4 linked regions of the Oreochromis niloticus genome follow. The protein of the gene in region 2 interacts with the protein of the main gene of each other region in a biochemical or structural test. Links are inferred from orthologs where the notes say so. Each region holds a gene or a part of one and is shown on either strand. Other genes may lie near its edges.

Region 1 (8,000 bases), on a different chromosome or scaffold from region 2:
TCAAGTCTGAGAAAAGGCTTGTATAGAATAGAACAGGAAAGCCCTTTATTATCATTGTTCATGTACATCAAAATTATGGGTGCTCCACGCCAACCGTGCAGGAGTAAAATAAAATAGTAGGACAGCAGGAATGTAGCTCATGCTTTGTTAGTGACCACTGACCACAATTTAAATTCAGTGATTACTTCCAAAACATTGTTAAAAGCACTTGGTTTAAGATAGCAAAAATTCATTTTCCACGCTCTGACACTGAAGCACTTTAAAAGGTCTGGAAATAACGCTTTGCAAGTTAGAAAATGCCAGCACATGGCTCAGGTGCATCGTTAAGTAAAACTTCTTTGTTTTTGCTTATTTCGCAGCTTGGCAGTGCGTGCTCAGAGACATAAGATCAACGCAAAATAGTGACCGGAATGACCGTGGACCACAGGAGTATGTCGAGAAGAACCCAAATCCTAATCTACATTGTAAGTTCCAGCAAATGTTTATTTTTCCATCACACTAAAAGATGAAATCGGTAAAGGACGTGCTGATTAACTACTCGTTTCCTTTTGTTCTTGCAGCTTTCACACCAGTGGACCTGAGTGACCTCAAAAAACGCAACACACAAGACTCCAAGAAGTCCTAGTCTTTCTCTTAATTATCCCATTGCTTTTTTTTTTTCTTTCTCCCATACATTATCCTCGAGAACTTTTCCTCCGTCAGCCCTCTTGTCAGCCAGAAAGTTATCGTTGTTGGTCAGTCTAATACAGAATGCAAATCTAATTTCTAAACTCTGGACCATAGCAAAGCTTCTCTTCCTTCACCCTCGAAGACTGACTAAAAAGAAAAAGTTGGATTTCTTCCCTCTTCTCTCAGTTCCTGTTTTTTCCAGTCGCATTCGATATGTGGACGGGACCGATGCAAAGATTCATCCAAAATTTGCCGACTTTGTACCTCAGCTTTTTTTTTGTCTCCACAGGACGCAAAAGACTTCAGTCTTAAACGCGACGCTACTACTACTACTAATATGACATGGGAGGAAAATATGAAAGGGCTGACTTCTTATTTGTAGTTTTATTTTGTTTATCATTAATTAAGCAAGTGTAGAAGTAATTGAACATTCACACACACACACTTTATGGGCGAGTTTTCAAAGCCAAAACAGAGTGTAAACAAAGCCAACATTTTTATTATACATTTTCTTGCCCTTGGTCGGACTTTATTAAGTAGAGGGCCTCCCCAAGTATTGATAAATCCCCTCCCATTCCCCTCTTCTTTCCCAAAGCCTTGAAACAAAATGTTGAATAAAAAGACTTTTACATTACTTGTAGTTGTACTTATTCTACATAAATACATCACTGTATTTTTATCACATTAGAATTCTAGTTTTGTATTGGCCATGAGTTGTAATTAGTTTTTGATCCAGTTTATTTTCAGCTAGTTTCCAGAGTTGAAGTTCAAAAATGTTCGGTTAGCTTTTGTTTTCACCAGTATCGGTATTGTTTTAATTGTTTTTCTTTTTAATTATTATAGTATTTTGTTATTTGTCAGATGCAATATTTAAAAAGTCAGCAATTTAGATGTATCCCTTTGCAAGGCACTTGACGCACAGTCAACATGTAGGGCGGAGCAGATGATACTCCAAGGGTAAAGACAACCAGGCTTGACCTTGTTGGGTGATCTTACTATCAAATCATACATATATGACCATTTTAGAGGACTGATATTTCTCAGAACCTCCTTTTTAAGGCAGACTTAAACAATATATACACTATAATGACAAATGTATTCACTCAACCTTCCAGATCACTGGAATTCAGGTGTTCCAATCACTTCCATGGCCACAGGTATATAAAGTCAAGCACCAAGGCTTACAGACTGCTTCTACAAACGTTTGTGAAAGAATGAGTTACTCTAAGGAGCTGAGTGGTACAGTGATGGGATGCAACCTGTGCAACAAATCCACTCGTGAAATTTTGCCACTACTAAATAGTCAACTTTTAGTGGTATTATAAAAAAGTGGAGACGACTGGGAACAACAGCAACTCAGCCACAAAGTGGTAGCACATGTAAAATTACAGAGTGGGGTTAGCAGATGCTGAGGAACATAACGCACAGAAGTCAACAACTACAGACCTCATTCAGATTAGAAGGACAGTGTACAGAGAGCTACATGGAATGGGTTTCCATGGAAACAGCTGCATCCAGACCTTACATCACCAAGTGCAGAGTGTTGGATTCAGTCGTGCAAAGCTCGCCACCACTGGACTCTAGAGCAGTCGAGACGTGTTCTCTGGGGTGATGAACCACGCTTTACTGTCTGGAAATCCGATAGGCAAGAATGGGTTTGGAAGTTGCCAGGACACCAATACTTTTCTGACTGTATTTTGCCAGATGTAAAGTTTGGTAGAGGGGGAATTAAGGTGTGTTGCTGATTTTTAGTAGCTGGGTTCGGCCCCTTAGTTCCAGTGAAAAAATTGTTGTTTCAGCATACCAAGACATTTTGGGCAACAGTTTGGTGGATGGCCCCTTCCTGTTTCAACATGACCACAAAGCAAGATCTATAAAGACATGGATGAGCAAGAACTTGACTAGCCTGCACAGAGTCCTGCCCTCAACCCAACAGAATATCTTTGACATGAATTAGATACTGCAAGACAAGACTTCTCATCCAACATTAGTGTCTGACCTGACAATTTGCGCTTGGGAAGAATGGTCCAAAACTCCCATAAACACCCCTAAATTGTGTGGAAAGTCTTCCCAGAAGAGTTGAAGTGTGGGCCAACATCATATTAAACCCTCTGAATTAAAATTGGGCTGTCACTCAAGTTCACATGTGTGTTAAGACAGACAAGGATTATAGTGTATATGTAGAATAGTACTGGGGTGGCCGTAGCTCAGGAGGTGGATCAGAAGATTGGTGGCTTGATACATCTATCGAAGTGCAAACGTGTGTCAGTGTTTGATAGAAAGCACGTAGGAGTTAGATAAAGCATAGAAATAAATCCTTGTATGAATGGGTGAATGAGAGATGTTGTGCTCAAGTAGGCTCAATTAGCGTAGAAAAGCACTATATAAGCAGGGGTGCATGTGCTGTCAAAATAAAAGACACGCACCAGATAAGAAGTTGCAACGTGCGTTTGCGTACATATGATTTTCTGGAGGAGGACAGACATTTATTTAGAACTCTTAAAGATGTCGAAGAAGCAAGCTCCTTTAAGCAATTACTTTGGCGTTCCTCCACCTCCAAAGAAATGTCAGAAGGAGTCCAAACCGCAAAAGAAGCGCGTATTCTTGGAAAAGTGGTTGCAGGAGGTGAGCTGGCTTCAAACAAATGATGAACGCACAGAGATGTGGTGCAGAATATGCCGTGAAAATCCCACTCTAGCGGACAAAAACAGTGCCTTTTATATGTACGCAAACGCGCGTTTCAACTTCTTATCTGGTGCGCGTCCTTTATTTTGACAGCGAATGCGCACCTTATGTGCACCCCTGAATATAAGAACCAGTCCATTATCATTTATATTACACCTATAGGAGCTTTTTTAACAAATCTCATTATATACTGATCCATTTCGCAGCTTCCACATTCTGGGAAGGCTTTCTACTAAATACCGGAGTGTGTCTGTGGAAAGGTTTCCCCATTCATCAAGAAGCTGTTTGTTTAATTTAGTGGAGTAGATAATTCTATCTTGCTGATTAGTTTAACTTAGCTGAGTGCTTCAAATCTCCAAACATCAAATGGTGATTCTAAACTGGCTGTAGTTAAAAAGGTGTAAATGGTTATTTGTGTTTCCACGTTACCCTGTGCATGGTGTACCCCACCCCTTGCCCACTTTCAGCTCTGCTCGACCTTGAACTGGATATGTGGTTAAAAATATCGATGGATAGGTGATAGATAACTGTGTCTGAACTGACAGAGTGTGCCAGCAAGGGATAACTAAGCCAAGGGTAAAAGGGTCTTAAATAATTTATTGAATTGGACTGGATGAATGCAGGCATTGTTAAAATATCCAAACCTAGTTGTCAGTGCGGTAATCTCAACCTGCACAGCTCTGTGTAGCTGCAGCTGTTATCACACTATCAACGCCTGAAAATTGGATACTATATGACTCAATGCATTTTCTATTTCTAAATGTGGAAAAATTATGAAATTGATCCAGGGGGTAAAATAGCTGTTTACTAAGCTTTAAAAAAAGCAATGTTGAAAATGGTGCTTTTATTCAAAGCACCGTGTTAAAGATTGTCATCCATACAGTTGGATTTTATGTTTATCCATTCCAAAACCAGTTTTGATGTATGTTTGGGATCATCTTCCTGTTGAAACACCAAATGTGTCCAGGTTTCAACCACTTAGCCACTGACTTTAGGTGAAGTGAGGTGATTTGGAAGTGGTCCTACTTCTTCGTTATTCCAAACACTTTGTGCAATGTAACTGTCAGCAGGCAGTGTCTGGCTTAGGTGCAGTTTGGACAATTGTGGGGTGTATGTCTATAGTTTAGCCTGTGCTTTACAATCATTCCACACTGGAAAACGTTAGTTCACAGAAATCATTAAAAGTCAAAAAAATTACCATGACGATCGGTTATGACCACAAATATGTACATATTTGTTCAAACTGACTTACAGTGTTACATTTTCTTTCTTTTTTGTTTTCTTTTATTTCAGTTATTTTATACACACATAGCTGTAGTAGTTTGTGTAATGAAGACTTTCAACTACAACTCAAACTAATGAAATTTACAGTGAAACTGTAAATTTATTTTATTTAATATTTATTTAATATTTAGATTATTTAAATAATTGTAGATTCATTGTATTGTAGATTCATTGTTTCGGACGATACTGTTGATTGCTTCATTGTTTCGGACGATACTGTTGATTGCTTACCGATACTCATCTATGGAGCAAAACAATAGCAATTCCCTGTTGGTAACTTTGTACCAACATCTGATTGGACAGAAAGATGTTACTACGCATTGACGTTTGTCTACGTATGATACGCAACGAAACTGTTTTTCAGCAACCGTCTGCTCATTGTGTTTTGTCGTCGGGGAGAGAGGAAAGGGCAGGGAGCGGGACCATTGAAGTCTAGGGCTGTACTTTTTTTTTTAACTATTTCATTAACAGTTTAGCATTATTGGGGCAGCATAATGACCGATAAAATGGATATGTCTCTAGACGACATTATCAAGCAGAACAGGCAGCAGAGAGGTGGAGGCCGGGGCGGCAGAGGTCGAGGCCGCGGAGGCGCAGGTGGCGGCGGCCGTGGAGGAGGAGGCCCCGGGCGTCTCGGAGTCAGCGGTGGAGGATTTGGAGGCCGAGGCGGCGGATCCGGCCCGATGAGGAACCGACAGATCCCGAAACGCGCTAGAGGCAGACCAACGCCTTACAGCAGGGTATGAGAAAGTTAAAGGAAAAGCCTTCGACAAAGCTGAAAATGCCTGGTTAACGTCGTTCTGTAGCTAATCCCCTAGCCAGCTTGCTAGTCAAGCGAATAAAATGATTGCTAACCGCCGAGTTTTCCCTTCGGAGGAGAGCTCTATAATTGGCGGCTATGCATTAATGGAAGTTGTATGCATATTGTGTCCCTTCTCCCACAATCCATATGTGTTGCATCCTTTTTCAAGAGGAGCCCTTTTTGGAGAGAGCAGTTGTGTTAGCCGTGTTGGCTAACTAGCTAAAGTTGGATCGTAAAGGCCGAAGCGGCGCCATTTTGAATCAAGCACCTTAATTTAGAGCTAGTCGTCCAAGGTCCATATCGGTGCTTTTCCACCTCTTGAGTGAAATTGATGGTGAAAGGAAATCGCATCAACGAGAAATTCTACCCGCACGCTACTATCGTGGGAGCAAAATTCTTCTTTTTTTTTTTTTTTTTGGTCAAGTCCCAGCGCAGCGACCAGACGGCCTTTTGTTCGGGAGTGGCTGACGCTCTTCTCAGCAAGGCCCATTTTGGTGGCTATTCAACCGGTGTGGCTGTTGCTTTTTGGATGGATCAGTGGACTTTAAACCTCCTCTCTGATAATTTTCATGTTAAGGCAAATCATCACTCCTTAAGTGTGAATGAATATCTAAACAAAGCCCCAGTCAAAATGGCGTGTCTCAAAATGGACGCTCAGATAATCCACGCTCATTGATGGGGGGATAGCTGGGCCCCCTTTCGGTTTGTTTACATCCCCATCCCCACTCTCGTGTTATGGACATTTCCCCCTTCATGAAAGCCCTTTTCGTGGCTTGGTAAAGAACTCTTGGGCGGGCCTGGAAAACATGGTGCAACGCTGGAGGCAACGCTGCTTCAGATGGCGACCCCCTGTGTCCCTGAGGATCATATCTGGAGGGCCTCTGGTGGAGGTGCAGCTGGCAAGAAAACAGTGGGCAATTTTTGTAGCTAGCATGGGAGGTTGTTTGGGTTTTAATGTAGAGGTTATGGGTGGGAGTGGGATATAATAAAATCAGTTGGCTCTATTTGAACTTGGTCATTGAAAAGACATGTACTTTAAAAAAAAAAAAAATGTATCCAAAATGTATGCATGTACAGGTTGTATACAAGACATCCCCTTGCCTTTTAATTTTTTTTATATATATATTAAGTTGTCTTGTGTATGTCCTTATCTGTCCGAAGTGATTCACTTGCTTGTAGTGATGGGGTGGGCAGGGAATAGTGGGGATCCTCTTGGGGGACCTGAGCACCCTGACCATGTTGGAAGTGGAGCCCCTGCTTGCCCCAACACCCAGCCGTGTGGACTCTGTGAATGACAGAGGGCAAGGGGATCCTGAAGTCAGCAGGTGCGTTCTCTTTCGTCTGTTGCAGCCTAAACAGCTTCCAGATAAGTGGCAGCACGACATGTTCGACAACGGCTTCAGCGGCTTCAATGGTGCTGCTGGAGGTGGAGGAGGAGCTGGCGTGGAAACTGGAGGGAAGCTCCTCGTGTCCAATCTCGACTTTGGGGTCTCAGATGCAGATATTCAGGTATTTTAAGTTGTTTGTGATTCTTGGCCTGGGTTGGTGTGTTTAACAGTGTGGATCAAGAGGACCAATTGTTTTGGACGTGTGTTTGTTAGGAACTTTTTGCTGAGTTTGGAACTCTGAAAAAGGCTGCAGTTCATTACGACCGATCAGGAAGAAGCTTGGGAACTGCAGATGTCCACTTTGAAAGGAGGGCAGATGCGCTCAAGGCCATGAAGCAATACAATGGCATCCCACTGGATGGTAAGTCTTACGTTCTTTGACCTGCCAGTGCAAACAGTTTCTTAAAGTTTGCTGCTTCTGTAAAGATTTTGAGGTTCATGGTGTTTGTGTTTTTAGGGCGCCCTATGAACATTCAGCTCGTCACATCACAGATCGACACACAGAGACGGCCAATGCAGGGGTAGGTTGATATTTCTTTTTTGTTTGGGAGGGGGGGGCAGCAAATGTATTGATGACTTGATGTGTAAAGGCTCCTTTATCTTCAGTCTGAACAGAGGCGGCGGCGGAGGAGGCATGATGAACAGAAGTCGTGGTGGTGGCGGCTTTGGAGGCATGCAGAGAGGCCGTGGAGGGCGTGGTGCAGGTGGCCCTAGAGGACGTGGACGAGGCGGCCGTGGTGGTGGTAGTAGTAGCAAGCAGCAGCTGTCAGCAGAGGAGCTCGATGCCCAGTTAGATGCCTACAATGCCAGGGTATGTTTACCTGAAACTTGTAAATATGATTTCTTCTGAGTAACAGATTGTCCATTTTCTCAGATGTCTAATTAACTCTTGGTTTGTTTTCTCAGATGGACACCAGCTAAGAACGTAAAAACGAGCTCCTGAGGGTCGTCGTCCCTTCCTGTCTGCACAGAAGGGTGGCTGTTACAAATGTGCAGAATATTTTACACTTGGTTGTCTTCTAATGTGATTGAAAATATTGCCCCACCTCTTGTTTTAAATGCTCCAAAGTGTTTTTTACCAGTTTTGTTTGTGATAATTTTTTTTTTTTTTTTTTTTTTGTTTGTTTGTTTGTTTGTTTTCTTTTCTGATGGAAAAAATGGTTTCGACTGTA
Region 2 (7,110 bases):
TATGGATGATAGACTTCGGAAAGACGACGCCTCTGCCTGACTCGCGGGAGCTCCGACACAACGTCCCGTGGTCTGAAGGTAGCAGGGAGGATGGCTACCTCATCGGTCTGTCCTCTCTCGTCACATCTTTAGCCCAGGCCATCAGCGTGGCCTCATGGCAGCAGGAGGAGAGCTGTGAGGAGGAGCAAATAAGCCCGTGAATGTGCATTTTTGACAGTCGTTACACAATTGTAAGTGGATGAGATGGACGAATCGACTGGTGTTACACTTGGAATGGTTTCATTCGCTGGAAGAGACTTGATTTGTTAATGGAGATTGTGTCTTCAGGGGCTAAGGAAGAGGAACAAGGGACTTCAGTGTACCAAAAATCCATAGATATGTGGTTGTGCATCCGGTATGTACATACTCTGACAGTTAAAGCTACTGTGTTACAAAGAACTTTTTGTTTTCTCATTCGCAAAAGACGGACAATCCAAGGAACATCTGATCTGATCTACAGATCAGGGGCGTACCTGAGGCATGGGTTGGGAATGACTCTGCTGGAGATCTGTTTACAAATGCTTCTGTCTTGTTTGTTTTAATTTGGTTGGTCTGCATAAACTAAAACAGCTCGCCTTTGTTGCAACATAAGCTCATTTAAGGTATCTCATTATGCGCACATAGGCTGAACAGCCTCGTGCTCTATCTTTTTTTAAGACAGTATGTGTAAAAAACATGGGTTAAGTACAGATTAAGCTATACTGATGAAGAAAACACAGCCACAATGTTTGTATTGTATTATTCTACTGTTTGTATTTAGATTACTTACACATGATGCAGCTGAAATGTTTTTCACAGTTTTATAGGCTATAAATAACCTCACATATATAAAAATTAAAATAAGAATGCTTCTTTTTGTTGAGTTTTTATATATCCGTGTCACTATTATCATCATTTTACATAAAATGCAGGGCGATCCTGGCTCAAGAGTTGGGAGTTCGCCTTGTAATCGGAAGGTTGCTGGTTCGAGCCCTGGATTGGACAGTCTCGGTTGTTGTGTCCTTGGGCAAGACACTTCACCCGTGGCCTGCTGGTGGTGGTCAGAGGGCCCGGTGGCGCCAGTGTCCGGCAGCCTCGCCTCTGTCAGTGCGCCCTAGGGCAGCTGTGGCTACAATGTAGCTTGCCATCACCAGTGTGTGAATGGGTGGATGACTGGTTGTGTAAAGCGCTTTGGGGTCCTTAGGGACTAGTAAAGCGCTATACAAATACAGGCCAATGAGTTGCAGACATCCAAGTCCAAATAGAAAGACAATGATATGCAAAAAAGTAAATAAATACATAAAATGCTAAATAGCAGTGAGAGTTTAACCGCTGAAATCTCAGGGCAGTCAAATCCATTCGATCATTGCAAAAAGCAGGTTGAATAAAATATTTCAGTGAGATGGATTAGTGCAGCCAAAAAGCATATATATGTATTACACTGCATGAGGCAGTGGTGAAGTGTTCAACTGAAGTGACGGATGAGTTTAAGGTGGGGGAGGGATTGGCTCGGAGTCCCTTCTTGTTTGATGTGGTGATGGGCAGGTGAACTGATGAGGTCAGGCAGGAGTCCACAGAGACTCCTGCCTGACCTCTTACACATTATGATCTGAAGTGAGAGAAGGAGGCAGGCCGAAGAGAGCTTGGAGAGGTGAAAACAGGTGTAAAAGTGAAGCTGCAAGGAACAGAGGCGGTGAAGGTGGATGTTTAAATATCTCGGGTCAACCATCCAAAGCAACAGATGGGGCACAAGAGAGGAGAGAGTCCAGGCAGAGTGGAGTGGGTGGAGATGAGTGTCAGGGCTGATTTGTGACAGAAAGAGAACAGTGAGAGTGAAAAGGAAGGTTTACAAGATGGGAGTGAGACACTGGCGCTGACAAAAATACAGGAGGTGCAGCTGGAGGTGGCAGAGCTGAAGGGTGGACAGGATTAGAAATGAGAACATCAGAGAGACAAAGTTATAGAGGCAGGGCTGACATGATTTGGACATGTGCAGAGGAGGGTTAGCAGAAAAAAATTGGAGGAAAATATTAATGTAGGAGGGTGGTGTGAAAGATGAGGACGCAAAGGTTGAGTGAGATGCAGCAATCCCTAAAGGGAGCAGCCGAAAGAAGAAGACTGAATGATATGATTTGTGCAAATCTGAAGTATTGTTAAAATAATGCTGAGTGTTTAATTTAAAGTAAGTCAAATAATAAATAACTGAAAAGTAAGCAGTAAAACAATTACAATTCTTAACCCTGTGAGGTCTAACACATCATCGGTGATCCGAACCCTCGGCTATCACAATATGTTTTTGTTTCTCACTGATACTGTCCGTCAGAGGATAACAAAGTAATCAGACTATCTTTACTTTTTAAATTCCTGTTTTTCTTTTCTCCAAAAGCAAAGTGTTAAGACTCAGAGCAAGGGTTAGGGTTTCAACAGATTTATGCACTTTAATATCTATATCAGCTAAATTCAAGTACATTTTTGTGTTCGAAAGTTTAGAAAAATAGGAATATCTAGCCCAAGAGACAATATTACACTAACATTAAGACATCATAATTAGCATTTTAGTGGTTGTAGACTGTCAAGATGAAAATTTATAGCTTTAGTAATTAAAGGCTCCATCTCATCTATTGAAAACACATTTGGCTTATTAAAATGTGACAATTCTAAAAGAGAGACCACAAATTAAGATGCAGAAGTTTGCAATAATGTCTTGGAGCTGTTATCACTGACTATTGTTAAAAAGGACAATGACTAAATTTGGATTTTTTTTTTTTAGTTAACAACAGGAAATACAGCAGAAAAATTAATTTTTTCCCCTTTTGTTATTGTTTAACAACCTAATAATAATTTGTGTATGATTGACAAATAGATGCCTGAATTAAATTAAGTTAATTACTTTGTTAATATTAAAACTATTTAAGCCAAATATCTATTTTTAAAAATGCCATAAAAAAGTACAAAATCTTACATATGCCTAAATATATTTTTTGTATGCTAATATTGTGGCAGTTTAAGCGTTCAGGCTGCAGTAGTCAGACGCTTCGTTTCGCCAGGTGGCGCCGTGTTGTTGGAGGATCAGGAGAAAAGTGAGCGGGAGAGACCGACTGACAGGAGCTAAAACGACAGGTTTTCTGTACTTTTATGGAAAAAAGCAATAAGGTGGTAAAAAAAAAAAAAAATTAGTGGTAAATATTGAAACTTGGCCTGGCAGGATACGCAGCCAACGTGAACGGTAGCTGCTAGCTGCAAGCTAGCCTTAGCTTCTGCTCACAAAGTTGCCCAAAAAGAAAAAACTTCAAATTTCGCTCAAGAAGGCTGACAAAGAATCTGGTGCTGTTGTGAAAAGGAGTTTTTCAAGGAGAAAGTAAGTTTTACTGGGAGATTAAGTGGTCTTGAGAGGACTAAGTGGTCATGTTTCAGAGGAGCTACCCCAACCTGGCCGTGGTGACACATGTGGTGAATGATGGTAAGTCTGACTCCCATTATTCTCTCGGCTTCGTTTAGCCTGGGTTTACATTACCGTCTAATCGCTTACACCTGCCTATGCCTCGTGTTTTAAACAGACATTGTGAAAGATATTGCCTGAACGTTGAATATTTAAAAATAAATAAGCGTGCTACCGAGGAGGAAGCTGTAGCTATTGTTTACCTGGTCAGAGAATTTAGTTGGTGTGATGCTAACGGAAGCCTTCAGGCTAATATTTTTAATGCATATATTTTTTATATTAATTAAATATATATTCAGTTGCAGTTTGGTTACTTAGGCAAAAGAACCACCTGGATGGTCACGATTTGTGATAAAACACAGATTGTACAGCTGAGCCTATCCTAAAGTTCCTTTGAGTGAAATAGTGTCAAATTATACTCCTTTTTTAATCCTGATAGGCTATATTAAAGTGCACTGTTTGTACAAAAATAAATAAAAAGTAAGCAACTCCGGACAATTCCAAAAATTAAAATATTAAGAGCTTGTTATGACATTCTGTGACATTTCTGGTAGTATTAAGAAATCGTGCTGGTTCACTGTCAGGGCTTATTGGGACCTCATTATTGTTATTGCTTCCAGCTGCACCTTCCTGCCTTGAAAGTGCTCTGTCACAGGCATTTCTCACAGCAGATCATTTGCCCTGTCGCTGTAGATATTAATAGATAATGAGTACCGATAATGGCTGCATTCCACTTATGGGAGGTCCTGGTTTTATGCTTGGTGTTCAGTGGCACAAACAATAGAAGTGAGTCATTAATATCAACTGGGTTTTTTTTTTTCTTACTTTTTACAAGTCAGTCTTTTGTGCACATGTCACGGGAACTTTCCAGTTATTTAGAGGATTACTGACAGCTGGTCAAAACAACATACTGAGATATGATTTGTGCAGCGCTGAAATTAGAATAAAAACTTCTGTAGGTTTAGGAAATGACACATCTAAATGAATGTGAGTCTGTTTTTATCAAAGGTCTTGGTGTTACATGATGTTGAAAGTATTATTTTCAAATTTAACGAATATAGTTTTTAGAAGAGATAGATTAAGAAGTCTTAGAAATCAATAGAAGATTTTAGTTATAAGATCATTTGAGTCTTATTTTACCTTGTATTGTAATATACATACATCACGAGTTAATATACGTTTAGTTTCGAGTTCATCATGAAGACAAAAGTAACCATCTCTTTAGTAAATCTGCCCTTCATGAAGGCCATGTTTTAGTGGATGTTTGTGGTGCCTGCTGTCTGTTGGAAAAATATCCAAAATGCCTGTCAGTAAGATAAGATCCAGTTTATCTTTAAAAATTATGTTAAACACTGTTAGACCAGCTAAAAGTTAGAAGCAACAGAAATTATAATAATTAATAAAATACTGTAACAATAATTACAGTAGTAGGCCTACTGAAAAGTAATATGTTATGACAAAAATATTATAATTAGACAAAAAATAAGTTGAAAAAATGAGCAAAATAAGTATATCATACAAAAATAATTATTCCAAATTCAAAAAAGTAAAATAAATAGAATTAATAACTATTTAATAAATGTAGGAAGATGAGATGAGATAGCCTTTATTTGTCCGTTGCAAGTCTTTTGCCCACAACCGAGATGACAGACAGCAAATGTATAGAGCTGTGTAAAAGTCTTGAGCCACCCCTAATTTATTTAGCCTTCATTTTGATGTTTTTTTAAATATATATTTTGGTCTTAAACAATATTTCACTAGGACTTCTAAAAGCCTCATTAAAATTTTCTTTCAACATTGGCTACTTTCTCACTCATTTTCAGTCCAATCCTTGTACCTGACCATTTTCAGATTTTTTTGTGTGTTGAGCCATTTAACACTGACCAATGATTCATTCAAGTATAAAAACAAACCAAAACTCAAGGGATGAGTCAGTGTTTCCTCTGCTCATAACAGACAACTTTGCAAAGAATCCATCATTTTGTTATCAGCAGCCTGTCCAAAAACACATAATACAGAAAAGGCTGAGGTGTGCCAAATTACAAAAGAACTGGAGTGGAAATCAGTGGCAACATGGCTTATTGAGTGATGAATCCAAATATGAAATGTTTGGTTCAAATAATCATCCACTTGTACAGAGGTGGTCAGGAGTGAGATCCAGCATATAAAAAAACACAGTGGAACACTATCAATCATGGACTGGCCTCCCCAGAGTGCTTAGCGCGGAATTATTGAAGCAGTGATCATCTTGACAGAGAACAGAACAAAAGACAGCCAACATCAAACAAAGAGCTTTGAATATTATTCAAGAAGGCTGAAGAACTATTCCCGAGGACCACTTAAAGAAATTACTATTGGGATCGGGCTATGTTTAAGAATAAGTGCGGTAAGACCAAATGCTGACTTCCTATTTTTCCTAGGAAAATATAAAGATCAGGGCTGCTTCACGACTTTTGCATAGTATTATAAGACGACATTAAAGTGGCTCAATGACACAGTACAGGTGGTAAATAATATGTTAACATGATGGGAGGCATGTAGTGTTAATGTGTGAGATATGGAAGAATTCCAGTAGCTTTCCTTATCCAGTACATCAAAAATGCACCTACAGGAAAAAAAAACAAACATACACACAGCTTCTCTGAACAGTGTTAACTCAGGGGTAATCTCAGGTGAGGTTTGTTTCGCTACAATTGCACCTGCTCATAATAAACAAGAAACAGTGTGTATAAGTGTGGGCGTTAAGTTAAATTTGGTACTTTTCACTAACGTTTAGCTTGCTAAATAAGATAACCCCATTTTATATACCCTTTGATACCGCTGTAGATTTGTTTTAAATACATTTGCATACTGGCGCAGCTTTGAAAAAAACAACAACAGATCGGCCCGTTGGCTAACTTAAAAGACAGCTGTCTGTGTTTTATCCCCCATCTTTGTGGAAATACAGAAGTTGGTGAGCCTTTTAAAGAGGTTCGTGTGTTTATGATTGGCTGTAATATGATTTAAATGGTCGGATATCCTACATCAAGCTTCGCGCTATAATTTTTGCTCATATACGCAAAACTAGGTCGAAGCTAACGCTAGCAAAGCCTGATTTGTACATTGCATGTTTTTTTTGTTTTTTACTCGACCATAATCCCACCGTAGTTTGTTTCAGCTGTCCGCTCCCTTTTCTTGCCCCGGAAGAGAACCCAGTTGTGTTTCCGGCTTCGTCTTCTCGTTTGGGCTCGGCAGGGGAAGCTAAGCTAAGCTGCTAGATACAAGGCGACAGTCACGTCGCGGTCACCTTTGTTTCCGCTGGTCCACCCGGGATGTTGGAGTTTCTCCGACAGCCTTGGCTTTGAGTGCCGTGAAACAAGGAAAATAACCACCACTAGTAGCATTGTTGTTTTTTGTTTCACTCTGGGCTGTGATTGTTATCCAACACTATTGGAGAAATATGGCGGACGGCGGTCATTACTACAATGGTAAGAAGCCACGTTCATTGCAGCTTTAAACTTACTGCACTTTTAACGATCTTTCCACAGATCTTAGAGACTTTGTCGTGAGGAGAGAGGTCAGAAGAACCGATTTCATGGTTCACGGAGGTAAAAATATGTCGAAGGCATCTCGGAGGTGTCATTTTGTGACCTTTTGGACACATGTTTACCCAG
Region 3 (7,331 bases), on a different chromosome or scaffold from region 2:
AATCGAAATCAAATTTAGCATTCCATAAAAATAAATTTAAGCTGTATCTTCAGGCAATGATAGTCTCAAATGATTAAATTACAGTGTATATTGACGCAGATTGACTTAGAAAAAACTGTTAGAATTTGTATACGATTGTATATTTATTTTGGTGGATGTGTAACTTTTCCTTTGCATTTTCCTGCCTTGCTTCAGTTCGGGACAAAGGCACTCCGAAAACCATGGGCTATCCTGGGATTGGCACAGACTGTTGTGGCAAGCTCAAAGAGCCAGGCAGTGGTTTACAAGGAGATTCTATCGCTGACTCCATTGACTTATCTGGCAAAAACAAGAAGCGACGTAATCGCACGACCTTCAGCACATTTCAGCTTGAGGAGCTGGAGAAAGTGTTTCAAAAGACACACTACCCCGACGTGTACGCCCGGGAGCAGCTGGCGCTGCGGACGGAGCTCACTGAGGCTCGGGTTCAGGTATGCCAGGGCAACTCCATCACAGTTGACACCTTTTTTATTTTCTAAATGTAATCAGAAGAAAGTATAAAGCCCAAACAAAAAATTGTCTTCTGGAAATTTACTGTTATACTTTTTTGTGTTATAATATATTTTATTTTTTAAAAGGTTTGGTTCCAAAATCGCAGAGCCAAATGGAGGAAACGAGAACGCTATGGGAAGATCCAGGAGGTTCGCAACCACTTTGCTGCTACATATGACATTTCTCTTCTTCCTCGCCATGACGCATACCAGGTAGGCCAATGTAGCTCTCACATGGCATGCATGTTGTAGTAGTAAACTTAACATTATAGAACTTGCTGAGAAATTGCATTTTTTTCACGTTACAGGACTGAACAATATTAAAACTTTTGCTGATATTGTTCTAAATTTCTCCGTATCCAGATGCAGGGCAATCTGTGGCCGGGGGCAGCTTCAGGAGGAGGCGGTGGTTCAGGTGCAGGCTGTGTCCTAGGGGCTGACTCTATCCCCTCATCCTGCATGAGTCCGTACCCTCACCCCCACAGTAATCTGCAGGGCTTCATGGGCATGCCCACATCCTCCAGCCACCCGCACCATCACCATCACCCGCCTCACCATCCAGGCATCAACAGTCTCTATTCTCTCCACGGCTTCCCAGGAGGCCTCGGGTCACCTTCCATCGAGGGCCCCGAGACCGAATACAAGCCAACAGGCCTGGTGGCACTGAGGATGAAAGCCAAAGAACCAGGCAGCATCCTCTCCTGGCCAACATGACCATAATAACGCCAGCTCCCCATTATGCACTGACTGAGCCGCAGCATATTACAGTCGTCACCCATACACGATCCCAGATGTACATTTGTGGATTTGACTCGAATATTTCCTCCAAACATTTATATAAATCAACTTGGAGACGTGTTGCTATTCAGAAATGTTGGAACAGGCATTTTGCAAACAATAAGGGCAACTTAAGAATCTTGCACGAAACCCAACCTATTAATACGAACGTTCTTGTTTAGAGTTCTTATTTTGCATCACAGTGCTGAGACCAAAGAGGAAAATTATTTAAGCATGTAAAAAATGTATCATATTAATCCCTTTTAATGTCTGTTGTGTTGTGCGTGAGTAATAAAGGGCTCCATGTAAATTTAACTGTCTTATTCAGCAGCAAACTATTTTGGAGAAGAGGGATTTTCTTTTTCTTTGTTTTTTCTTTTTTCAAAATGAACAAAAACCATCTCAGTTATAATTATTTTAGCCTTGACTCTTTTGCAAAACGATAGCCACGTTTGCAATGCAAATATAACTGGGAATGTGGTTATGAGGTAAAAATACTTTACAGGCTGTGGATCCCATAAAAAAAAAGGTTTCTGCTGTGCGGAAAGTGTACAGAGTGAATGTGCAGCCCGCTAGGCTTCACTTCAACTTACACTCCATGCATCAGGGGAAAGTGGCAGGTTCATAATGGAAAAACTAACCTGGTGACCACACTTCACTACTGATAATAAAGTAGATAACCACAGATGATTATGTATTTGTCATGCATGTCCTACAATGTGAGGTGTTTAATCGATTACTGTGGCTCAGAGCATATTTTGTATGCTGAGGCCAGGTCAAGGTCAAGTTTCTTCTGCATCCATGTGTACAAGCAGAATGTAACAGAGATATACTCACATTATCCTGAATGCCGTGCTAATAATTGTTTTCAGAAAAATCTCCCCAAACAATTTATGTTATTGTCAAGGAAACACTGAATTGCACGGTACATCCCATATGGTGTGAATTACTAAATGCCAGTGCATTCATGTCAAACTGGCAAACATTTCAATCTGTGAGACTGAGAACTGAATGTGAATTGAGAAAAAGAGTTTCACTGCGGGACAAAGCCCCGCCAAGCTGAACTCACTCCCCGGGAGTGTGCATGGCTTTCAGGGGAATATATTGGCTCCCCTTTGTCTTTGCCTGCTTCGCCTTGACGGCGATGCAGGGGCGGATTAGCTGCCTTTCCCTAAGTCTGTGCCGGAGTTTCCTGAGAGCCACTAACATGTGGTTCCAATAGAAGAATGCAGAAAGCCATCAGAAACACTTTCCACACCCACAGCTTCAAATTCCAGCCAGTCCCTGGGAGACGGCAGCTCTCACTGCAGTCACATAGTCCCCCTGATTAATTCCCAGATTAAGAGGAGAAGATAAGAAGACCTGTCAGAAGGGATAAGGGATTGAGGAGATTGCCGTGTTTAGGAAAGCTGGAGAAATAGCAGATGGCGGATCAGAGCTTAATTTTGATATTTATTTTTACAGTGTGAGCAGGTTAATCAAATCCACTCGTAAACAAAAGAGGAAGCTCGGTGGTTTACTGATTTTGATATTTTAATTCCTTAAAACAGTCAGAACAGCTGTAATAGATTAACTCAGGGGCTCATGATCATAGTTTGGCTTATTCTACTTCAAAAATGTCTCAGAGTGAACGTACAGTGATGTCATTTCACTATAGGGGGCCATAGGTTTTCATCAAGCTCTCATTAAAGTTATCATGCTGTTGCATTGGCTTTGATCTGTGTTGAATCAATGTATCAGGATCCAAAGAGCCTCTATGATTTTTTCAGAAAGAAATGAAAAATGATGAGTCATTGCTGCACAATGCTAGAGCTAATCATCACTCAGTATGTCAGGGTTGCTAGCTGTAGACTGTCACAAGAGCCTGGAAGCTAGTACACCCTCGGCCTCATTACTGGACTAAAAAATATGATTTAAGGCTCATTAAAATCGGTAAAGCTGACTGCTGGCCACTGCTCTGAGCTTTGATCTCAACAAGATTTATCTTGGCTTCAAGGTGCAGCTATTGAGACACAACAGATAGGCTACTTTTATTTAACATATCCCACTAAGGTAAACAAAGTAGTGCACTGTGTGATTGGCTCAGTTTCAGCAGTTTGTCAAGGCTGCTTCCAAAATTTTATCACTAGGAAAAATGTTTTGGCAGTTCATCCGAGAAAATCAAATATTCAGAATATAAAATGCTTGTGCAGAAGTGCAAACAGCAGTGCTCGATTTGAGCCAAAGCACGACTTGTAAAAAATGGCGAACTACTGTGACACATTAAAGAGCAAACATTAGTAGGTTGTAGTGTGATGCTTTGAACTTATATCTTTAAAAGGCTGTAATAGCTACTGCTACATGTGGCCTACACTGTAGCAGACATTAGTCAATATCAGCAGCTTGATTTGTTCATATAGTTGCCAGGAAAGGCCCTTTCCACTCAATGCCAAGGGGAGTGGGCTGCTGCACTTTCTGTTCAATACTGCCATCTTGTGGTATTGGCTCTAATTGAAGATAAGAGGATTATCTGTTCGCCTCCACACCGCAATTAAGTCATCTCACCTCCCGGGAAAAACGAAATGAATAATATTCTTAAGAAACCTGCCTACGGTATTATACTACAGTTAACAGTGGATGGACAGCAGAAACTGGCGTTGTGATATAAGGAATAAGATTTATCTTAAGCCTTAAGGTGCAGCCATTTAGACCTAACAAATAGGCCACTTTTATTTAACTTTTATTTAAATAAGTAGAATAGCATACAGCTCAACAGAATAAAAAATAATATGACAATGCAAGTGTCTTAATAAGGTAAAAGCTTTTCTGAAATTTCAAAGGAATGCAAAATACAAATAAAGTAATATTTACGTTTATATTTAAACAAACACAAACAATTTCGATAACTTATTTATTTATTTGTTATTTTATACTCAATTTAATTTATTAAGAAAATATAAAATTATAGTGCCTGCCGCTGGGTGATTGACATGCGCTTTAAAGTTTCCCACCCACTTTCTAACCAATCAGAATGAAGGGGTGGGTCTTCGAGCTAATCTTTACAAAATGGCGACTGTTGTTGTTTTGCCGCAGGGTCAGTGAATAAACCCGTTTTTCACTTCAGTAAATTTCTGCATTAAGTTGCAGAAAATATCGCACCAAGGAAGAGCAAGTGTCCCGACGGTTGACACCGAGTGGGCCGAAATGAAAGGTAAAGAGCGGTCGCCGATTAAAAAACGCTCCCGGGCCCTGGACGATATTCGAGACAGGGGAGGATGCCATCCGACCAGCAAGAAAATGGGGGCTCTGTCCGTTTCCAGTGGGAGTAATAATGGAAACAGTTCGTCCAAAAGCGACGGCGGCTCGACAAGACGGAGTCTCCTCGGGGAAAAAAGAGACCGAGATTTCGACGGTCACAGCCGGACTGGAAATAATCACAGTTGTCAGTCTGCAGCTGCCGCCGCCGCTGCAGCGAGCTCCGTGGGCAAAAACCACAACCTGAGCCTGACGCTGGATTTAGCCTCACCGAGGACCACCTCCCGGGGTGAGCCGCGGCTGCAGCCGCCCAGCACAGAGAGTGAGTACAAAACGCTCAAAATCAGCGACCTCGGCACTCAGCTTAGCGACGAGGACATCGAGGACGGACTCTTTCACGAATTTAAAAAATTTGGGGATGTGAGCGTCAAGATAAGTCGTAGCAACGACGAGCGGATAGCCTTCGTAAATTTTAGGAAGCCGGAGGACGCCAGAGCGGCTAAGCACGCCAGGGGACGGCTGGTGCTGTACGACCGGCCGCTGAAAATCGAGGCGGTCTACATCAACCGGAGGCGAAGTCGGTCTCCGGTGGAGAGAGACTTGTACGGTGCAGCTCAAAGCCACAGACATTTGCAGCGACCCCTCTCGCCCACCGGGCTGGGATATAGAGACTACCGGCTGCAGCAGCTAGCCTTGGGACGGCTTCCTCCACCCCCACCACCACCTTTGCCGAGAGAACTGGAGCGGGATAGGGAGTTCGCTCTGTTTGAAGCCAGAGCACGCCCAGCCTTCATTGCAGAACGGGCAGCTTTCCGGGAAGAGGATTTTATTTCCCCAGAAGACGACCAAAGAGCTAATAGGACGTTGTTTTTAGGCAATCTGGATATAACTGTTGCAGAAGCAGACCTCAGGAGGGCTTTTGACAGGTTTGGAGTCATAACAGAAGTGGACATTAAGAGACCAACACGGGGGCAAACCAGCACGTATGGATTTCTGAAATTTGAGAATCTTGACATGGCTCATCGTGCTAAGCTTAGCATGTCTGGTAAAATAGTGGGCCGCAATCCCATAAAGATAGGCTATGGGAAAGCAACACCGACCACGCGCCTGTGGGTGGGTGGTCTTGGACCGTGGGTTCCCTTAGCTGCCTTGGCAAGAGAATTTGATCGCTTTGGCACTATAAGGACCATTGACTACAGAAAAGGGGACACTTGGGCCTATATTCAGTATGAAAGTTTAGATGCTGCACAAGCAGCATGCACACACATGAGAGGCTTCCCACTGGGAGGCCCAGAGAGAAGACTTAGAGTGGACTTTGCAGACACTGAGCATCGTTACCAGCAGCAGTTCCTGCAGCCTCTCCCAATACCACCATTTGACATGGTGGCTGAGTCATTTGTCCACCGTGCCACACCTGAGCCACTGAGGGTCAGGGAACGAACTCCACCGCCGCTTCACTTCAGGGAGAGAGAGCTGTTTCCTGGAACTGACTGGCCCAATCCTGCTATTCGTGAGCGGGTACGTGCCTCACCTTTTGAGCCTCTGGAGCATTTGGACCGTGAGAGGCGAACTCGTGAGCCCTGGTCTTTGGAAAGAGAGCTGCAGGGGCGAGAGCCTGCGCGAAAGCGGCGCATATTGGAGGACGGACGCCACATAGACCACTCCCCTGATAGCACTGAGAGGACAGTAAGACGCAGACGTGCTTCTCCAGATGGCAGTCCTGGAGGCAGCAGCAGAGATGGAGGGCGCTTTAGTGACTCAGAACGCCCCCTGCGGGGCGAGAGAGCCTCTCCTGCGAGAGAACGCCACAACAGCCTTGAAAGAGGTGTGTCAGACCGAAGGCCCAAAAGCCAGAGTCTGTCTGATAAGGGACTTTCAAGCAACATTATTTCAGCAGTTGGAGAGCGCAAGCGCAAGGCAATCGATGGTGGCAAAGGACCAGCCAAGAGAGAACGTTCTGAGAGCAGCTCAAAGGGAGGCCAGCCATCCAAGCCGGATGGCAACAAACTCAGTTTGGCGTGGCATGGTATGCTATTGTTGAAGAACAGCAACTTTCCAGCCAACATGCACCTGCTGGAGGGAGACCACAACGTCGCCAGCGACCTGCTTGTCGACAGCGCTACAGGAAGGCGAGTGAGCGAGCTAAAGATCACGCAGCGACTCCGGCTGGACCAGCCCAAGCTCGACGAGGTGTCTCGGCGCATCAAGGTGGCAGGTCCGGGCGGCTACGCAATCCTGTTGGCGGTCCCCGGCACCACAGAGGATACATCTTCATCCGACCCTGCAGCTTCAACTCAGCGGCCGCTTCGCAACCTGGTGTCCTACCTCAACCAAAAACAAGCAGCTGGAGTCATCAGCCTGCCTGTGGGAGGAAGCAGAGATAAAGACAACACAGGGGTTCTTCATGCTTTCCCTCCCTGTGATTTCTCCCAGCAGTTCCTGGATTCCTCTGCCAAAGCTCTGGCAAAAAGTGAAGAGGACTATCTAGTCATGATTGTGGTCCGCGGAGCATCTTAAAGAAACAAACTACACTAAATTCAAATGGAATAAAAAAAAAAAAAAAAAATCTGCTGTATGTCAGTAACTATTGCATGCTGTGTGTTCTGCATCATGGAGTACACTAGTATGGTTATTGAGTGTTATGTTACCATGTAAGCCACTTAAAGGACAAACAGTGCCCCCCTGCAAAGCTAAAAGTATGTGTGTTTCTGAAGTTACTGTTCAGAGGTGTCAGTCACAATTATAAATCTGCAGTCATTTAGCCAAAATTCTGTAAAGCGGTTAAAGTTT
Region 4 (7,919 bases), on a different chromosome or scaffold from region 2:
TATGAACTGTTTCATACTGACTGCAAAATGTGAGAAAAGGAAACTTCAGAAAGCATCCTGACCAGACACCAAATGTGAAAACAGTTCCAGAGAGAGGACTGACCAATCTCTCAGCCTGTAGCTAAGTTTAACAAGAACCTGCCAAAGTTGAAGCTATGTGGCAAACAGACTTTCAGCATACAGACCATTTTACTTTTGGTTTGTTCTTTAAAACAAAAACAAAAAAAAACTCAGCCTAGCAGCCTCATTTTCAGTGTGTAACCTGAAACAGCAGGTGAAAAGATTAGTGTTCTTCAGATTTAAGCTTTCTGAACAGGTGATGTGATAAGTGACTAAGTGGATTCTAAATTGGTGGTCTTTTGATGCAAGAAGACATTTATTGAAAATATTTATTTAATTTAAAGTCCAGTGTTATTGTTGTACTTGGGTGTCTTCATATTAAGACACCAATGCTGTTTGTGATAAGAGAAGTTAGAAAAGGAAGCTCTGAGGAAAAGCACCAGCTTGCAAGTGCATCTCTTGGAGACACCATATACCCCGCAGTGACTTTCAACACTTGATAAGCTATATATGCTCCTTCCTTCCTCCTTATCTATGCCACACACCTGTGGGGCACCCTGTACTTTACCCTGTGTGCAAATACACTAGTGTATTTACATGTGTATAAAATGTGAAAAATAAGTATAACCACCACCATAGTGTTGCTTTTAAAAAAAAAAAAAAAATCATAAAAGCTATCCATCAGAATTTCTACTGTAGACACAGTAGCATAGCTAAGACCCAAGAGTGTTGTATGAACTGCACATCAACCTTGAGAAGCTTTTGTGTTTATTTTTTAAGTGAATAATATCTAATTAAATTGGTGCTCTTATTTTTAAAAAAAGAAAAGTGAAGCCAGCCCGACTGTTTTGAAGAACTGCAATCCTAGAAGTGAATCAAGACAGAAACAGCACAAACACTGCATGTCTTACCAAGCTCCTTCTGCTTTCTCAACAAAGTGTTGTGTAAACAAAACTGATGATGAAAAATTAAACCTATCTTTTAAACTGTAAATAAGATTTGGGTAATTGTTGTTTGTGGGTGAGTGAGCCTTTACTTAAATGTGAAAGTTCAAACACTTCTGCATCATGTGCTATTGAATCTATGCACAATTTAAAAAGACTTAACCTTGACTCACATGTTACAGAGGTGAAAAACTATTCAACTTCTTTTTGTGTTTCATGCTACAGTTTCATGTACTTGTCTTCATTGTTACCATGAATGCCATTTCTATTTTAACACTATGTGCGAAGTCAAAAGGGTACATTGCCATGGGATCAATGCTGAATTATGCAAAATCTGGGTTGCTGATTATGTGATATATGCTGTTAAGAGCTGTAACATGACACTGGAACGACAACAGCAGAGCTTGGAAAATTACATGAGTCTTCTTTTTCTGTTGTCGGTTAACTGGTGCTTTTAGGTAGAAGTGTGAATGTTTTTCTGTGTATATGCATTAGTCCTGCAACAGTTTGGCGACCTGCCCAGGGAGTACCCTACCTGTCGTTCTATGAGAGTTGGGATGGGCTCCAGCTCTCTACCCTTGTGACCCTGAATTGGATTCTGGTCAGTTAGCAGCTTAATAAATCACTGCCACAACTTGTAAAGAGTCAAACATAGTCGTACGAATGCAATCAATTATAATGCTCGATAGAAACATGTTGATTATACTTGATTTGTGATATTACCTGATCCAGAGCATCAAACATGGGAGGAAAACAAAAACCATGAAACCCAGAAGAGTCGAATTAAAAAATGTGTAGTATTTTGTTTGTATAATCAATATATCTTGATGGCAAGCATAAATAATATCTATCCAAAATCCTGTCTTACTTGAAATTCATAAATGTGACAACATTTATGAATGCTGGTGCTGATGATTGTTTGTGCGACTACGACTATTAACGACGATCGTCAAGGAAAGTCGATTGTATATTTCTCAAAAGAAAAGAAAGAAAGATTTCCAGTTGATTTGCACTCCAGATAGAGAATACACTTGTAGTTCACTGGAGTTTTTTCTTTAACTGATAACAAAAAAAGTACACAAGATTTTCGACTATCAGGACAAGTCTTAGCCACCATTAAGATCACAGGTTGGTTTTAAAGCCAACAGTACCGCTGTCCAGGCGGCAAATATACCCACTAAGGTAACCATGTGGGTTTCCAAGCAGCCAATGCTCTCTGCGCAGTTCAGCTGGCTTTGATTTGGCTAACGGTGCCTAGCACTTAAAAGGTTTCCACCCAGCCCCCCAACACAACCTTAAAATGTAAAACAGTTATGTGTACCCCGAGACAGTTGTTACTTAGAACCAAACCATCTTGCCACGTCTACCTGCAACAGTATGACGCCTCAAAACTTAAGAACCGAGGACAACAATGCGCCGTTCGCCGATGCTAGCGTCCACTAGCACTAGCTCCATCGGCTAATGGCTAGAATCCTACTTCCTCGCTTTCCACGAACTTTGTTAACAGTTAAAAACTCACGACTTCAGCAAATGTTGGCCATCTCAACTTGTCGCATGTGAATGAGCACTTAATCAACACTCGTTACCTAATGTAAACGACACACCGTGTTGCGATTTGACTGTCAAGCCCGCCTGCTTTTGCTAACCTATGAGCTAGTTAGCTAGCCTTTAGCCGTTAGCATTTCCTGTGCATGCTAGCAGCGCGTGGAGGCCACGAGCGCTAACTGCAGGCCACAAAATGTCTCCAACTAAACAATAACAAGACCTCAAGAATACAAGCATTACAGTCACTGTACGGTCCTCGAAACGGGCTTTAAACTGAAATTGTTCATTCTGTTTACCTGTTTACTCTTGGCGTAAGGTTTAGAGGCAATATGATATCTCCTGCTTCTAATTTTCCCTCCACCCGTGGCCGCCATGGCTCTTTCGTCTGAGTGTCTTTCGGTGTTTCGGCGCCGGATAGCTGTCATCCAACACAGTGGCCACTCTCAAAGGAACTATGGGAAATGTAGTTGCATAACCTAACAAAGGAGGTAAACTCGACAGGTCAAGCGTACTGTATGGCATCATGAGGATAATTATTATTATAAAGGTAATAAGAGTAATTATAAGGACATTTGTACATTTACATTTACAAAAATCACAAGTATACGGTTAAATCTCAATAACATATATTTGTAAGGGGAAAAAATAATTTTTTTCCTTTTGTCTAGGCATTTTCAGTAGTTTTTATAAATGATGTGGCATGGGGGAGAGATATGGAAGCTTCTTTCTGCCACTGAAAAAAGAAAAATATTTTCTGTTGTCTGTAATTCCAAATATTGACTTAAGAATTCCAAATAATTTCAAGTTACATGTCTCTGAGATTTTGAGACATTTTGAGATAAGGGCTTTAGATTTTGACTCAGATCTGCCTGGCAAATGGTGGAAGTAAAATTTCATAGTAGCGGGGAGCTCACCTTATGAATGTTTGATCATAAATAAATACAGTAAACAAAGAGTTTAATTCAACACAAAGGTTTCAAGAATATTTTGGTTTGAAGAAGTGTTTAACAAAATGGAAATTATTATTTTTAGACCTTTTACTCAAATAAAAGTAATAATCCCAACTAAATAATAGTGCAAAATTGTAAAAATATAGGCTTATATGCATTAAAAGTAATAACTGTACTGTGGTCCTTTTCAGAATCACATACCAAGGTATGCAGGAATGTATCAACAACACATCTTCATTACATCCATGAATCTTCTCTGTGAGCTTCCTCTTTTCCTGCTTCCTGGCAGCTCCATATTCACCATCCTTGGTATCCAGTATCCCTCCTCTACATGCCCAAACCATCTCAGCCTTGCCTCTCCCTGTGGTTTTATTTGGCAAATATTTTATGACAGACACCCTTCCTGATGAAACATCAACAGTTAACTTAAGTAATAAAAAAAATACATTAAAGAACAATTCAATAGTAATTCAGATAAATGGTAGCTGCTACATCACCATATTTCATCTCACAAACAATTTGACCCATTTTGATTCTTCATAACAACGATATGTTGGATTTCACTGTGGTAGCTGGCAGAACTAAATGAAAAGGTGACTTGAAAGGTGAACTAAGCATTCCTGTGTAACTTGTATAATGTGGTGTATAAATTATACCTTTCTACACATTAAGAGCAAATCAGATATACAACCAATCCTTTGCTTTTTACACTCATTGACAGTTATATTAGGTACACCTGTTCAGCTGCTTCAAATATTTAATCAGCCAAACACATGGCAGAAACTCAGTACCCTGAGGCATGTAAATATGAAGACAATGTCAAGAAAAAATGGGCATCAGAGAAGAAAGGTGATCTAAGTGACCTTGAACATGACATGGTTATTGATGCCAAAAAAGTATGAATATTTCAGAAGCCGCTGATCTACTGGGAGATTTTCTTCTAAGTGGCCGTTCTCTGGTTCATGATGTCAGAGGTCAGAGGATAATGCCAAGAGTTCAATGAGTCACTTAAAAGGCAACATGCATGTAGAAGAACATCTCTGAATGCAACACACCAAGTTTTAAAGCAGAAAAGCACACCAGGTGCTGCTCATGTCAGCTTAGAGCAGGAAGAATCTATGCAACAAAAGGTTAAAGCAGCTCTGAAGGCAACCCGATACTAGAAACATGCAAGTAATAAAATGGCAGTTGAATATAGCTTTGCACTCACAAAATGTGTTGTAGAAAGCCACAGATATTTCAAGTACCTGGGGAAATTGTTCCTTTAAAATGTCAACAAAAGAACTGTAATAGACAAAGATGTTTGTAGCTGTGGGTGTTTGGACTTTTAAAGCACTTTTAAGAAAGTTAATGTACAATTTTAGAGAACGACTGGATGGTTCGAGTAACAGTATAATTTTAGCACTTACAGATCCGACACTGAGTGGTTCCCGTTACTCATCCAGTCTGAGAAAGCACTGGTTAAAGTGTTTGTGTATTTATTGATTTATTTTAAGTAATTGTGTTTTATGTATATTATGGTTTTATATTTTTACAAATTTTTACAAATGCTTTATATTTTTTACTAATGTTTTATATACTTATTTATCTACATATAGATATATATGTGTGTGTGTTTCTGTCTTGTTTTTATGGACATGAAGTCTGCCAATAAAGATTGAATTGAATTGAATTGAATTGTAAAATTAATGTTTGTTGTCCTCTTGTTGTTGTTTTTTTGTTGCTTCAGACATATGAGGCCACAGAGAACAATGAAATGAAAAACCATGAAAAAAAGACTATATTTATTTAATCTTTGTTTTAATTATGTGTACAAAAACAGTTCAGCCATTCAAATCATACATGGGTAGTAACACGTCATGCACAGTTTGCTGTGTTGTCTGCACTTTAAACTCAATACATTAAAATAATCAGTGAAGAAAGTTAGTGCTGAAATTAAAACTAACACTAAATGAAAGATTATTCTACACATTTAACAGCTTATTTAGAGTATTCACATGTTGTATTATTAATGTCACATTTAATTAATCTGGATCATAAAAATTGCATTAAAAAAGATCTTTTTACACAAATATTGAGCCACTGAATGTCACCGCAGTGCAATTACATTGAATGTCACAGTTCTGTGTTGGGTACGCCACACATTCATACACAGCATCACTCCACAGACATCGTCAAAGTCACACATCTGAAAAACTTTAATAAAGCAACAGCTGGTTAAGTAATTCTTACACTCGTTTAAAAAATAGACAAAGACTTTATTTCCTGCTGATGCTGTTTTGATTGAAGAAACTTACAGACAGTAAATGCACCAGCATCATATAACCATAAAAATATTAAACCGACAACATTAATCATCATCATCAAATCATCACAGAATCAAACCATCTACAACTCTTAAACCCAACAGTATTCGACATCTTTAGTTTCTCTTAAAGCTATTAAGGTCAGTAAATAAAAAACACACCAGTCAAAAAGGTTTAGTGCAAATAGTCTACATGTGTGTTGTACAGGATGGTGGGTGTGGACTGGTTGGTACACCCCTCACTTGACAACATTATTCCAGTGTTAAAAAGACAATATTGGTTGTGGAATGACACAGACTGCTGTTACAGTCCAAATAAGGCACCATTTTCTCTCAAACTCCAGCGCATATTACCTCATTATTTAAGTTTGTTTAGAAACATCTTTGACATTTAATAGAAAAGAAACTCAATCAAACTTTGCTGTCGTGTTCTGGCCTCCCACACCTTTAGAAGTTCAAACGGTTTATCAAGTGACACCGATATGATTTCTGGAATCTATTTTTTGGCGATTAATTGCACCAATGATGCAACTTACAATATTAATTAAATCCATCCACAAAGTGCATACTGTATTCCTCTTGGTAAACGCATCATTTCCTCATCCCCCTCCACAGAGGTCACAAAGATTCAGTATCAGTTGCTGTTTATTGTCTCTTTCCTCCTTGACCATTCACAAATCTGTTCCTGCCTGCAGCTCTCCTCCGTTTTGCAGTCTGCACAGTTCTTGGGGAATATTCCTGAGCTGTGGAGCAAAGAGACATGAGATATAATAAACATTTGAGATGGAGTTTAGTGAAATATTGTCATCAATCTGCATGTTATGAGACTGACCTGCAGCACCATCTGTGATGAAACCACATGAGTCAATAACACTCCTGTCATTGCAGTTGTGCCTTTGCAGAGAATTTCTCTGCCAACAGAAAGAAAATCAGAGTCACAAACACAAACAGTCTGTACAACTCGCTCACTCAAAACACTGCTGTGGCTTGGTTCAAAATGTACAGACGGTTTCAGAGTCCTGGTTTTCTGCATCCGTGCTCACCGTCATATTCTAATGGTGGTGCTGTGCCATGCTTACACACAGGGCACTTAGAAACAGTTAACTGTTGACATTGATGCTAACGCCAGAGGGGTGCACCGTGAAGTGAGATTAATGGCACAGTGAGCTATGTCGAGGTTAACGTCAAAGTTTTCTGTGTCAAGAAAGTGACTCTGTTTTGGCTAAATCACCATGGTAACTCATGCTGCACACATAGCATGGTCAGGAGCAGGGTTTTAATTTAAGATCATCAGGAAGTGCTTTTCAGTGATTCTTTTTTCTTCTTTTTTTTAAACATCATGTTTTCCATGTGATAAAGATCCTTTGCTGGGTAAATACATCTAATATGTGCAGCTTGTTAAGCCGTATCTTACTAACACCACCGAATGTGCAGCTAAAAAGTCGAAACAGTGCATTTTTACTGGGATTTGCATGTGTTCAGTTGGTGATGTAGGAAAAAACATGAATATAAATGTTTTTATATTGGGTTCTGATGCTTACACAGCAGCACTGAGATTCACTCAGTATTAAAATAAACTTGATGTATTGATGAGAGTCAAATTTTATGGCTATTTAACTTGGTGTTATCTGCTGCACCGTTGCATTTTCCAGTTATATGTTTTTGTCATTTATATATACTGTTTAATCATCATCATCATCATCATCATCATCATCATCATCATCAGAAAACATCTCTGACTGGAGTAGCTGGCACTCAAAGAGATCAATTTGTGCAGAAGAAGCGTCATGTGAAGCATTAAACGGCCCTTTTTATGTAAATGTGCACATAACCTTGAAGCAGAAAGCCCGGCTTAACAGAAAGGTTGATAACCACCACTGTGACACCTGCTGTGTGTGACTGGGATTTTAGGTTTTACCTCTTAAGCTTTCTTTGTAGTACATCCCTCTGTTCTATTCCACAGATGGAAGTTTCTACTATCACAAGCAAACCAAAACCTCTAGAAACATTTAAGTAAGCAAGCAGCCCAGGGCACTGTCTTACCTTCACTTTCTTTTGCTCATACCACACCATCCCATATAAGCACAGGAGCGTGATGAGTGCCTGGAAGAAAAA

What was found.
Region 1: the proteins of nxf1a (region 2) and alyref form a complex in vitro, tested with the Homo sapiens proteins (2 studies listed by BioGRID and IntAct). The link is inferred for Oreochromis niloticus from reciprocal best matches to the Homo sapiens genes NXF1 and ALYREF.
Region 3: the proteins of nxf1a (region 2) and rbm15 form a complex in vitro, tested with the Homo sapiens proteins (2 studies listed by BioGRID). The link is inferred for Oreochromis niloticus from reciprocal best matches to the Homo sapiens genes NXF1 and RBM15.
Region 4: the proteins of nxf1a (region 2) and nup153 form a complex in vitro, tested with the Homo sapiens proteins (2 studies listed by BioGRID and IntAct). The link is inferred for Oreochromis niloticus from reciprocal best matches to the Homo sapiens genes NXF1 and NUP153.

What each region holds. Positions count from the first base shown.
Region 1 is NC_031969.2:13,796,462-13,804,461, forward strand, and holds the start of alyref (THO complex subunit 4), read left to right. Parts: upstream 1-4,989; 5' UTR 4,990-5,132; coding exon 5,133-5,378; intron 5,379-6,790; coding exon 6,791-6,949; intron 6,950-7,041; coding exon 7,042-7,189; intron 7,190-7,285; coding exon 7,286-7,349; intron 7,350-7,434; coding exon 7,435-7,639; intron 7,640-7,734; coding exon 7,735-7,749; 3' UTR 7,750-8,000. Other genes in the region: mcrip1 (mapk-regulated corepressor-interacting protein 1), read left to right, coding at 360-464, 561-625. UniProt on the Homo sapiens protein: Functions as an mRNA export adapter; component of the transcription/export (TREX) complex which is thought to couple mRNA transcription, processing and nuclear export, and specifically associates with spliced mRNA and not with unspliced pre-mRNA.
Region 2 is NC_031966.2:20,671,794-20,678,903, reverse strand, and holds the start of nxf1a (nuclear RNA export factor 1), read left to right. Parts: upstream 1-4,105; 5' UTR 4,106-4,176; coding exon 4,177-4,243; intron 4,244-5,809; exon of another isoform or gene 5,810-5,824; coding exon of another isoform or gene 5,825-5,843; intron 5,844-6,599; exon of another isoform or gene 6,600-6,896; coding exon of another isoform or gene 6,897-6,924; intron 6,925-6,984; coding exon 6,985-7,044; intron 7,045-7,110. Other genes in the region: si:ch73-22a13.3 (inositol-trisphosphate 3-kinase A), read left to right, coding at 1-200.
Region 3 is NC_031984.2:21,081,494-21,088,824, reverse strand, and holds the start of rbm15 (RNA-binding protein 15), read left to right. Parts: upstream 1-4,311; 5' UTR 4,312-4,490; coding exon 4,491-7,058; 3' UTR 7,059-7,331. Other genes in the region: alx3 (homeobox protein aristaless-like 3), read left to right, coding at 196-470, 618-743, 894-1,244. UniProt on the Homo sapiens protein: RNA-binding protein that acts as a key regulator of N6-methyladenosine (m6A) methylation of RNAs, thereby regulating different processes, such as hematopoietic cell homeostasis, alternative splicing of mRNAs and X chromosome inactivation mediated by Xist RNA.
Region 4 is NC_031985.2:21,180,150-21,188,068, reverse strand, and holds the start of nup153 (nuclear pore complex protein Nup153), read right to left. Parts: upstream 3,004-7,919; 5' UTR 2,975-3,003; coding exon 2,846-2,974; intron 1-2,845. Other genes in the region: ptdss1b (phosphatidylserine synthase 1), read right to left, coding at 6,450-6,547, 6,637-6,715, 7,848-7,907. UniProt on the Homo sapiens protein: Component of the nuclear pore complex (NPC), a complex required for the trafficking across the nuclear envelope. Functions as a scaffolding element in the nuclear phase of the NPC essential for normal nucleocytoplasmic transport of proteins and mRNAs.